Linked DNA regions of Caenorhabditis elegans. The protein of the gene in region 1 interacts with the protein of each later gene in a pairwise test. Each region holds a gene or a part of one and is shown in the gene's direction. Other genes may lie near its edges.

Evidence for each region. Proteins that work in one complex are often made in the same cells at the same time.
Region 2: the proteins of cdd-2 (region 1) and ZK1307.9 interact in a two-hybrid assay, tested with the Caenorhabditis elegans proteins (one large-scale study listed by BioGRID).

Annotation. Positions count from the first base shown.
Region 1 is NC_003282.8:7,545,507-7,550,199, reverse strand, and holds cdd-2 (Cytidine deaminase), read left to right. Parts: upstream 1-2,306; coding exon 2,307-2,451; intron 2,452-2,547; coding exon 2,548-2,729; intron 2,730-2,774; coding exon 2,775-2,948; 3' UTR 2,949-3,082; downstream 3,083-4,693. Other genes in the region: oef-1 (C2H2-type domain-containing protein), read right to left, coding at 489-678, 730-959, 1,003-1,109, 1,154-1,262, 1,315-1,506, 1,550-1,642; pam-1 (Puromycin-sensitive aminopeptidase), read left to right, coding at 11-155, 3,083-3,187, 3,297-3,935, 4,012-4,246, 4,292-4,693.
Region 2 is NC_003280.10:9,647,057-9,652,262, forward strand, and holds ZK1307.9 (Coiled-coil domain-containing protein 130 homolog), read left to right. Parts: upstream 1-2,434; coding exon 2,435-2,749; intron 2,750-2,848; coding exon 2,849-3,106; intron 3,107-3,214; coding exon 3,215-3,359; intron 3,360-3,439; coding exon 3,440-3,831; 3' UTR 3,832-3,906; downstream 3,907-5,206. Other genes in the region: Galactosylgalactosylxylosylprotein 3-beta-glucuronosyltransferase sqv-8, read left to right, coding at 882-1,019, 1,099-1,202, 1,249-1,745, 1,837-2,168; ZK1307.4 (motile sperm domain-containing protein), read right to left, coding at 3,975-4,121, 4,431-4,523, 4,574-4,681.

The DNA of each region.
Region 1 (4,693 bases):
ATTTTTACAGCATCCATCAAGCCCGTCAACACTCATCAGCTTTGCCTGCGCAATTTTTCGGCCATCCGACGTCTTTCATTTGTCGCCGGCGCCCAGTGCCGTCCCTACCACACAACAGCAAACATGCTCCATCGCACGGCAAGAGGCGAACACGGGTCAGTTCTGCGTCCCGGTGTGTGTATGTGTTTTTGATGACAATAGTGTCTCGAAGTGCCAACCTCTAACTATCCTTTTTCGTTATCGAAAATGGAAGGGTGGGTTCTAACGTCATTCACCCTATTTGTCTATACGTCTGTTATGTTTATCATTTTCACACCAATCTAAAGCAATTTCCACGAAAAATCTAATGATCTTACATTGTGTCATTCTGAAACATTTCATTCTACTGATAGGCTTCACGACTTCTTCCAGTTTCTATTAATTTTTTCTCCAAAAGCTTATTTCTATGTTTTTGAAATATTTACAAAAACCTTTTTTCAACAACTCACATCTGTTTTGCTTTTATCAGCCACAGTGCTGATATGGATAATTTCACCTCCTCGAACAATTCTGTACGAGGCCTTTTCGGAGAGATACCAGGTGTTTCCGTTTCGAATTCTACGGCTTCTGGGAACTGGAAGATGACGCAAGAAGCATTTTTCCATAACTGAATTGAAAGTTGACACTTGCTCATTGGACCTAAATTTGAATCGAATTTTTAAAAGCATTTCTTCAATGTGATTTTCCTACCATAAGTCACGAAATTCAATTTCCACGTGGGTTTTATCGTGGTGTTCAGAAATATGTTCACATGGTGATTTCGACACAGGAAGAGTTCTCAAACAGTGGACACACTCATAGCGTTTTGCTATGTCTACATTGAGAAATTCCGATTCTGGGTGGGCGTCTAGAACATGTTCAGTCTGTTTCCTAATTTTTGTATTTCGGTTTCTACCGGTTTCCACTTCATGCTTGCACAGCTGAAAATTGTAGTTGAATCTGACGCAATTGTCGGGGTCTCACCGAACAATATGCCATATCAAGTTGATCTTCCTTTCCGTTTTCAACGATTATCGAGTCATTTGGTGTTTCAGCATCCATTGAGTTTACCATAAACAATTGCGGAATATCTGTTATCAGCGAAATATTAAAAATTAAATGAACGAACTCTTACTGTTTACAATGTTCTCTGATTCGTGATCATCCAAAACTGCATCTTCCTCGATGTTAGTTGGCTCGAGCAAAAGTTTCAACGCATCCGAGTTTTCGGCGAAAGTTCCGCGCTGAAATACTTTTTATTATTTTCGAACAATATTCGAGTTATTCAATCCTTACCGCCCATTTCTCTAATATTTCTTGGTTTGAAGACATCTGAATGGCGGGTTGGTTTGCTTCCGAAAACGGATCAACCGATTTCTGTTCCTCGGCTGTTTCTCGAAAATTAAAAGTTCCACTGTCCAATTTATCCAAATATTCTTTCATTTCTTCCGGAGTTGACGAGAAAATGTGATTCAAGTGATTGTTCGTCTAAAAATATGAATTAGGAAGAATAATTAAAGAAAAAACTCACCAAATAGCGACGAAGCTTTCGTGCAGCATTAATTTGTTCGATGTTATCATCGATACTCACAAGTACAAACCGTTTTCGCAATGATTTCGGCATTGTTATAAAAAGAGAGACAAGTTTGAATTGAGTTCGAATTCGTTCGCGAACGAACGTTCGTGGTCGACAAACTACGGTACGCTGGAGTACGCAATGAGATACGCAAACACGCTCGCGCATTTTTTTGACTTTTGTAATGCGCGCGCGCGCCACGGCCCGGCAAGTGGTACATCTATGCAAATGCGCTCTACTGATAATTTGAGTGTAGACCAGGTTTGGGCGCGTGATAATGAAAAAAGCTTTGGTCCAAAAAATTTAGAATTTAATTTCGGACATTATTTATATGCATCACAAAAAAACTGGACCAACCGTTTTTGAGATACACGCGCCCAAACGTCCAGGTATACGGTAGACAAATTGCGTACAGGTACCACTTCTCGGGCCGCGCGCGCGCAAAAATGTCCCGTGGATTTTTCATTTCACCAATTCTCGAAGTTGAGGCTGAAAAATAGTTGCAAAGTTCCCATTTTGTCATGTTTTTTTTAAATATAACGCGACCCGTTCACTGAATATGGGATTTAACGTCACTTTGCATGCGTTCCACAACGCAAATTCTTTTGTGTATTGCTAACTTTTCTCATCAATGTTGTTCTCTGTTCTTCTAATAATTTAATTCGCCTCATTCGCTTCTCATTTCATGCACTTTTGTCATAGTTAACTACAGATGGCCGCGAATAGTCTTCCTCAAGATATTTCCGATGTGGAACTAGTTCATTTGGCCCGAGCTGCGATGAAACGGGCACATTGCCCATACAGCAAGTTTCCAGTTGGTGCAGCGCTTCTCACTGAATCTGGGGAAATTGTCCAGGGTAATTTGTGATTTCTTGTCGTTGCATAACTCGAGATGTCTGCGGGCTTCTCAGTTTCGCAACATGCATTTTTGAAGTTTCTAGCATTTTCTGTAGGCTGCAATGTCGAGAATGCTTCATACGGTGGCACTATCTGCGCTGAGCGTAGTGCTATTGTTTCTGCTGTGTCACAAGGATACACGAAATTCCGTGCCATTGCTGTCGTCACTGAGCTCAGCGAACCTGCGTCTCCCTGTGGACTTTGCCGTCAATTTCTAGTTGAATTCGGTGACTATAAAGTAAGAAAACTAGAGCTTCTTAATTTTTCACTGTCATCGTTGCAGGTTGTTGTGGGAACTGCATCTAACAATAAAATTCTCATCACCTCAACTCGCGCTCTTCTTCCATTTGCTTTCACTCCTGAATCGCTCGACACTTTTGAGCAAGAAAAAGCATCAGAAGCTAAAGGATTAAAGCAAGATGATGCCACGGAGCATAACGTTACAGTCGTCTCTTAATTTTTTATTCCAATCAGAAACTCCTTTCCACATTTCCCGCCATTCCTAGTAGTGTTTTTTTTCATTTGTGATATCCTTCTCTTTCTTTCAATTTAGTTGTGTCAAAAATTCATTTTATTAATAAAACTTTTCAGAATGGCGGCCTGTGGAAACCCAAGCGCGGCGGTCAAATTTGAGAGGCTTCCAACATTCGCCGAACCAACTCATTACAACGTCCGTTTATCGCCATGCCTCAACCAGTAAGTTCTGTAATAATATTTCAGTTTAGCTAGGACGGCAGTAATAAATGTTGATATGTAGTTTAAATTTGCAACAAAACCACTTCAAGTTCTAATTCTTGTTTTTCAGATTCTCTTTCGATGGTCATGCAACGATTGACGTCACAATCAAAGAAGCTACTGATGTCTTGAAGGTGCATGCACAGAGTTTGCTGATTCAGTCGGTATCGCTTATCACTCAGCCAGGAGACGCTTCTAAATCTCTCGAAACTAGCTACGACGATAAGCTCAATATTTTGACTATCAAGCTTCCGACTACCATGCAGCCACAGAAGGTTCAGCTCGACTTCAAGTTTGTCGGTGAACTGAACGATAAGATGCGAGGATTTTATCGCAGTCAGTACAAGGATAAGAACGGCACCGAAAAGTTCTTGGCTTCAACTCAGTTTGAGTCGACTTATGCTCGCTATGCATTCCCATGTTTCGATGAGCCAATTTACAAGGCAACTTTCGACGTTACTTTGGAAGTAGAAAATCATCTGACCGCTCTCTCCAATATGAATGTAATCTCCGAAACACCGACTGCTGATGGAAAGAGAAAGGCAGTTACATTTGCAACTTCACCAAAGATGTCATCGTATCTCGTCGCTTTCGCCGTTGGTGAGCTGGAATATATCAGTGCACAAACGAAAAGCGGAGTTGAGATGCGTGTGTATACTGTACCTGGAAAGAAAGAACAAGGTCAATACAGTTTGGATCTTTCTGTGAAGTGAGTTATCTTAAAGAATAATTTTAGCTGAATTTTCAGTAATAATTCAAATGAAGTTTCAATTTCTAATTTTCAGGTGCATTGACTGGTACAATGAGTGGTTCGACATCAAATACCCTCTTCCAAAATGTGACCTGATTGCTATTCCGGACTTCTCAATGGGTGCGATGGAGAACTGGGGACTTGTCACGTATCGTGAAATCGCTCTTCTTGTTGATCCAGGAGTCACGTCCACCAGACAAAAGTCTAGAGTTGCTTTAGTCGTTGCTCACGAGTTGGCTCATTTATGGTTCGGAAATCTTGTGACTATGGTAGGGAATTTTCAACTAATAAACATATATATTCATTCTTTTCAGAAATGGTGGACTGATCTTTGGCTTAAAGAAGGATTTGCATCATTCATGGAATACATGTTCGTTGGCGCTAACTGTCCAGAGTTCAAGATCTGGCTTCATTTCCTGAATGATGAACTCGCGTCTGGAATGGGACTTGATGCACTTCGAAACTCTCATCCAATCGAAGTTGAAATTGATAATCCGAATGAGCTTGATGAGATTTACGATTCGATCACTTACGCCAAATCCAATTCAGTCAACCGCATGCTCTGCTATTATCTATCGGAGCCAGTTTTTCAAAAAGGACTTCGCCTCTATTTGAAGAGATTCCAATATTCGAATGCAGTTACTCAAGATTTGTGGACCGCACTGAGCGAGGCTTCAGGACAAAACGTGAATGAATTGATGTCCGGTTGGACCCAA
Region 2 (5,206 bases), on another chromosome or scaffold:
AATTTTTTTCAGAAAAATTTCCAAAAATATCGGAGCATTTTTTGTTTTTATCCATTACAATTTCGATTTCTTATCAGCTTTTTAGTATTATAACTGTCAAAATCCGTCAAAAGTGACGGAAAATCAAGAATAGCAAACATGTTATCAGATTGGCAAAATGCACATTTCAGAAAGTAACAAAAAACTGCTTTTTGAGGAGAATTTCGACTAAAACGTGGAACGAACGACCCTTGGGGTAAATGTGAGAGAATGGAGACACAGGCACGGGTGTGCGCCGCTTCACGTGACTATTTCGCTCTTTTCTTTGGATAATATTGATTTTTTAGTGGAAAAGTTTCGAAACATATATTATTTTAGAGAAGGAATTTTTCTCGTTCTATTTATGTCTTTTCTAACAACAATATTGTTTTATGATAGAGCAGCGCGTTCTTTAATTAGGAAAACACTTTTAAAAGCACAATGATAAAAAATAAATGGCGATAAAAGCGTTGAAAAATCAAAAAACCAATCAAAAACCGGAGAAAAACTTTTGAAAACAATAAAATTCAAACTTTTGTATGTGCCTTTAATATAGCGTGGCGAGACCCGTTCAAACTTTTAGTACTGCGCCTTTAAATTACTGTGAGAGTTATTGATTTTTATTGGATGCGAATTGAGAGATTTTCTTTTCCTTAAATTTTTTTGGTATTTCTTTTCATTAATACTCTGCGTTTTTGTTACAAACTTTTCCGATTTTTGTGTTTTGTAATTAAAAAATCCCACATACGTCAAATCCGGCTTAAAATAGTGCTTTGTCGATCACTTTTTGAACTTCCAAATTTCAATTTTTCAGGGATAAATAAACCAAATGAAACTGTTCGACCTGTCGCCGCACCGACATAATGTTTCCATCTAGATTACTAGAAAAATGGTGGCTCCGAGCATTTATTGCACTTGTTATTTTCTTCGTTTGGCAACTATTTTATGCAATTAATCGGGTACAAAGTTTGGAAGAAGAACGGGCCACTTTGCAAGCTACCGTGAGTTTATTTTTATGTTTCAACTGTTTTTCTGTAACTAAAATGTCACTTTTATCAAAATTTCAGTAATAATTTTCAGATAGAAGTTTTGACACGAAAAAGCGACGGGTTAAGAACGCAGATATTCGAAAAAGAACGAAATTTGGTTCGATTAAATGGGAAAGTTGAGGAGATTGATACACAGTAAGATTTTTTAAAAGTATTTATTCTTCTAAGAATATAATTACAGAATACGCGATCATCTTTCCCTCCTGCCACGTGTTAATCGTTCAACGCCTTTCATTTATTTTATAACTCCAACACATTTCCGCGCTGCTCAGCGAGCCGATCTCACTCGTCTATCCTACACGCTTTCCCATGTTCCCAACCTCCATTGGATCGTTGTAGAAGATTCCGATGAACTCACACCATCCATCGCCGGAATTCTGAAAAGATCAAAAATTCCAAATACACATCTAAATGCTCGAACTCCGTCTGATCAAAAAATGAGATACGATGACCCCAATTGGACGTTGCCACGTGGCGTTGAGCAACGAAATCGAGCACTTTTATGGATTCAAAATCAATTGAGTGGTGTGAAAGAGGGCGTTGTGTACTTTGGAGATGATGATAACACATATGATCTGAAAATTTTCGGAGAAATGCGGAAAGTGAAAAATGCAGGAGTTTGGCCAGTTGGAATAGTTGGTGGAATGTTTGTAGAAACGCCAATTTTAGAGAAAAATGGTACGGTTTTTAAATATTTCCTTAATTTATTTGAACTAGGTTTTAATTTTCATAACCAGTCCTTGCTTAAATTTTAAATACATCTTTTTAGGATCGATTTCCCATTTCAACGCTGTCTGGAAACCGGAGCGTCCATTTCCGATCGATATGGCTGCATTTGCAGTCAATATTTCTCTGGTTCTCTCCAACGCGAACGCTCTTTTCTCATTCGACGTGCCTCGTGGATATCAAGAATCTACTTTTCTTGAAAATCTTGGAATTCATCGTTATAATATGGAACCACTTGCGGAAATGTGCACGAAAGTGTATGTGTGGCATACGAGAACTGAAAAACCGAAATTGTCGAAAGAATCGATTGATCGATTGACTAAAAAGACAGGATTCAACTCGTTAGAAGCACATGCGCTTGGTGTGGATAATTAAGAAAAGTTCTAATTTTGTTATTTTTGTTGAAGTACCCATTTTAGTTTGATATAATTCATTTTCCACAGATTTTACCCAATGTACAAAAACCTACGAGTACCCTTTTATTGCATTTTGACTAACTTTCATAAATATTTTTCTTTACCTTCTTTTCAAAAAATTTAACTCCTCAACAGTTGTGTAGCTGTTTTTATTATTTACAAGTCTTTACTTCTTATACCAATTTTATTCTGTTCTGGAAAACGTAAAACTTATTCCAATTATAGATGGGAGAGCGTAAAGGACAAAACTTCTACTATCCGCCGGATTTCAATTACAAAACCCACAAATCTTTAAATGGATATCATGGAACCCACGCGCTTCGCGAACGTGCCAAAAAGATTGACCAAGGAATTTTGGTGATCCGTTTCGAAATGCCATTCAATATTTGGTGTCTTGGATGTCATAATCATGTTGGAATGGGAGTACGGTACAATGCAGAAAAAAAGAAAATTGGAATGTACTACACGACACCGCTTCACGAATTTCGAATGAAATGCCATCTTTGTGATAATTATTATGTGATTCGGACCGATCCAAAGGTATTTTCTAACTTAAGAAGTGGATGTAGTCTTTAAAAAAATATAATTCAAATTTCTAATTTTATCTTCAAAAATCTTCAAAAAAAATCATAACTTCAGAATTTCGACTACGAACTAGTGGAAGGATGCTCACGACAGGAACTTCGTTTCGATCCAACCGACATTGCACAAATCGGAGCAGTTGATCGTGGTTTTACTCAGAAACTCGCAGCAGACGCAATGTTTAAAAAAGAACATGAAGCAGAAGATAAAGATAAAGCAGCTACTGAAGAAGGACGAGTTGATAAGTTGGAATGGATTCAAGAGAGAATGAGAGACGATTTTACAGCAAATTCGTTTTTGAGAGCACAGTTTAGGGTAGGTTTTTTTGGCTTTTTAAAATCCATTTTTGGGAAATGCAGTTGATTTTTTTTTTAATTCTTTGAAAATTTTCAAAAAATTTATTAATTTTTCTTCAATTTTCAGAACGAGAAGAAATCCCTCAACGAAACTCGTGCTCGAGATGCGAATCTTCGTGATAAACTATCCATTGGAACGACTCAATTATTACCAGAAACAGAAGAGGATCGACGGATAGCGTCTATGATGACAAGATATCGAGATACAAAAAGTGAGTTTTTGCTTCTTTTATATCATTAAAAAATATTTACAGCTTTTAATTCCTGTTCAATAAAAACTATTAAATTACAGCTCACGATGATCACCTCGAATCTTCCCGCGATCGAATCGAATCACGTAGGATCTTCAGACGACCGGAAGAAACTGACACACCATCCACGTCTTCTGGATCTTCTGGAGGCGCTGTTCCATCCGCTTCCGAACGATTGAAGGCTACAATGAAAGCAGAGAGAGATAAACGAATCAATGCCTCATTTTCAACTGCTGGAACATCATCCGCGACTCAGAAACTTTTAGGAATCAAGAGAAAATCAGCTTCGTCTCTGGGTGTTCAAATTAAAAAAGCCGCTCCGGAAAACTCAAGTCTCCAAGATGAAGAACCTGCAGTGGAGAAGCCAAACATTTCAAACCCAATCTCACTTATTGCTCAAGAATACGGAAACTCGTCAGACGATTCAGATTAATTATTTTATCGAACGTTTAGCTGTTTTTTCTCTGTGAGAATTATCTTACTAATAATAATAAACACCCAGAACAAAAATTCCAATCTTCATTTTTACATACAATGCTCAGTTTAAAAATATCTTGTTTTTCTTTGGTGTATTATTCATTCGGCAGCAGACAACTTGATGACTGTCTCTCCAGAAAGCTCTCCTGGTGGCACTCCATTTGCGAACAATGGTTTTGGATCCGTGTTCTCATCAACTACCATACAGTACTGGATGATCAACTTGTCGGCTTGTGGCTTTCCAGGCTGAAATTTCAATGAAAATTATTACATAGAAGTCCAAGAATGAGAATTTCCGCCATATCTTCCGCGCATGGGTCTCACCATGCTGACAAAGGGCTACTGTAACTCGTGTCATTTTATGGGTCGCGATTGTATCATACGTTGATTAAAAAAATTTGGAAGCACTATTTCATTCGATATGAAAGTTATAATGCAATAGTGGAGCAAAACGTTGCGAAGTACAGTAACTTATTGTCAGCGTGGTGAGACCCAAACTTTCATCTTTAAACGGCTTCGTAATAGATTGTGTTCCTAGATTTAGAAAATTTATACCTTTCTGGTGATGACCAATTCCTTGACATCGCAAACTTTCAAGATTCCATAGATTAAGTTGACGCTGTAGTTTGAGTTGTTTGAGGATTTTACCTGACATGGTATTTTCAATTGACCAGTTTTCCGGCAAATAAAGAACCAACCTTATAAGCCATATGGCGATCGGTATGATTGATCATCTTGTGCTTCGAAACTCCTCCATTGGCCTGGATTGGGCACACTGGTGGATCCAACGAAATTTCGACTCCCATTGCGGCTGCACTTGACTTGGTTTTAAATCAGAACAAATTCTAATCGATTGATTCGGACGTTCTGTTTTACACGTGTTAAGATTTTATCAGCTGATGTTTTTTTTTGAGAATATGGAAGGTCGCGTGGAAATTTGAAAAGTTGTGAAAACGAAAATTAAAGTGATTTTATTAATTTGTGAAGTAATGGCATTGAGGAACAAATAATAAAATTTTCAGAAAGTTAAGTAATATCTTAACCAAACTCGTTCTCGAGATAGTGTCTATCCGTTGGACCGACCCAATTTTTTTTTCAGAAACAGAAGAGTTTCTGCTTCTTATGTATTATAAAAACTACCTATCTATGTATACGACAACTATGTTAAATTTCATCTTACGATGGTCACCTTGAATCTTCTCGCGATCGAATAGAATCACGTAGGAAATTCAGGCGACCGGAAGAACCTGCAGTGGAGAAGCCAAAAAATTCAAGGCCAATCTCATTTTTTGATTAAGAATATTGAAGCTTTTCAGATTCAGATTACAATT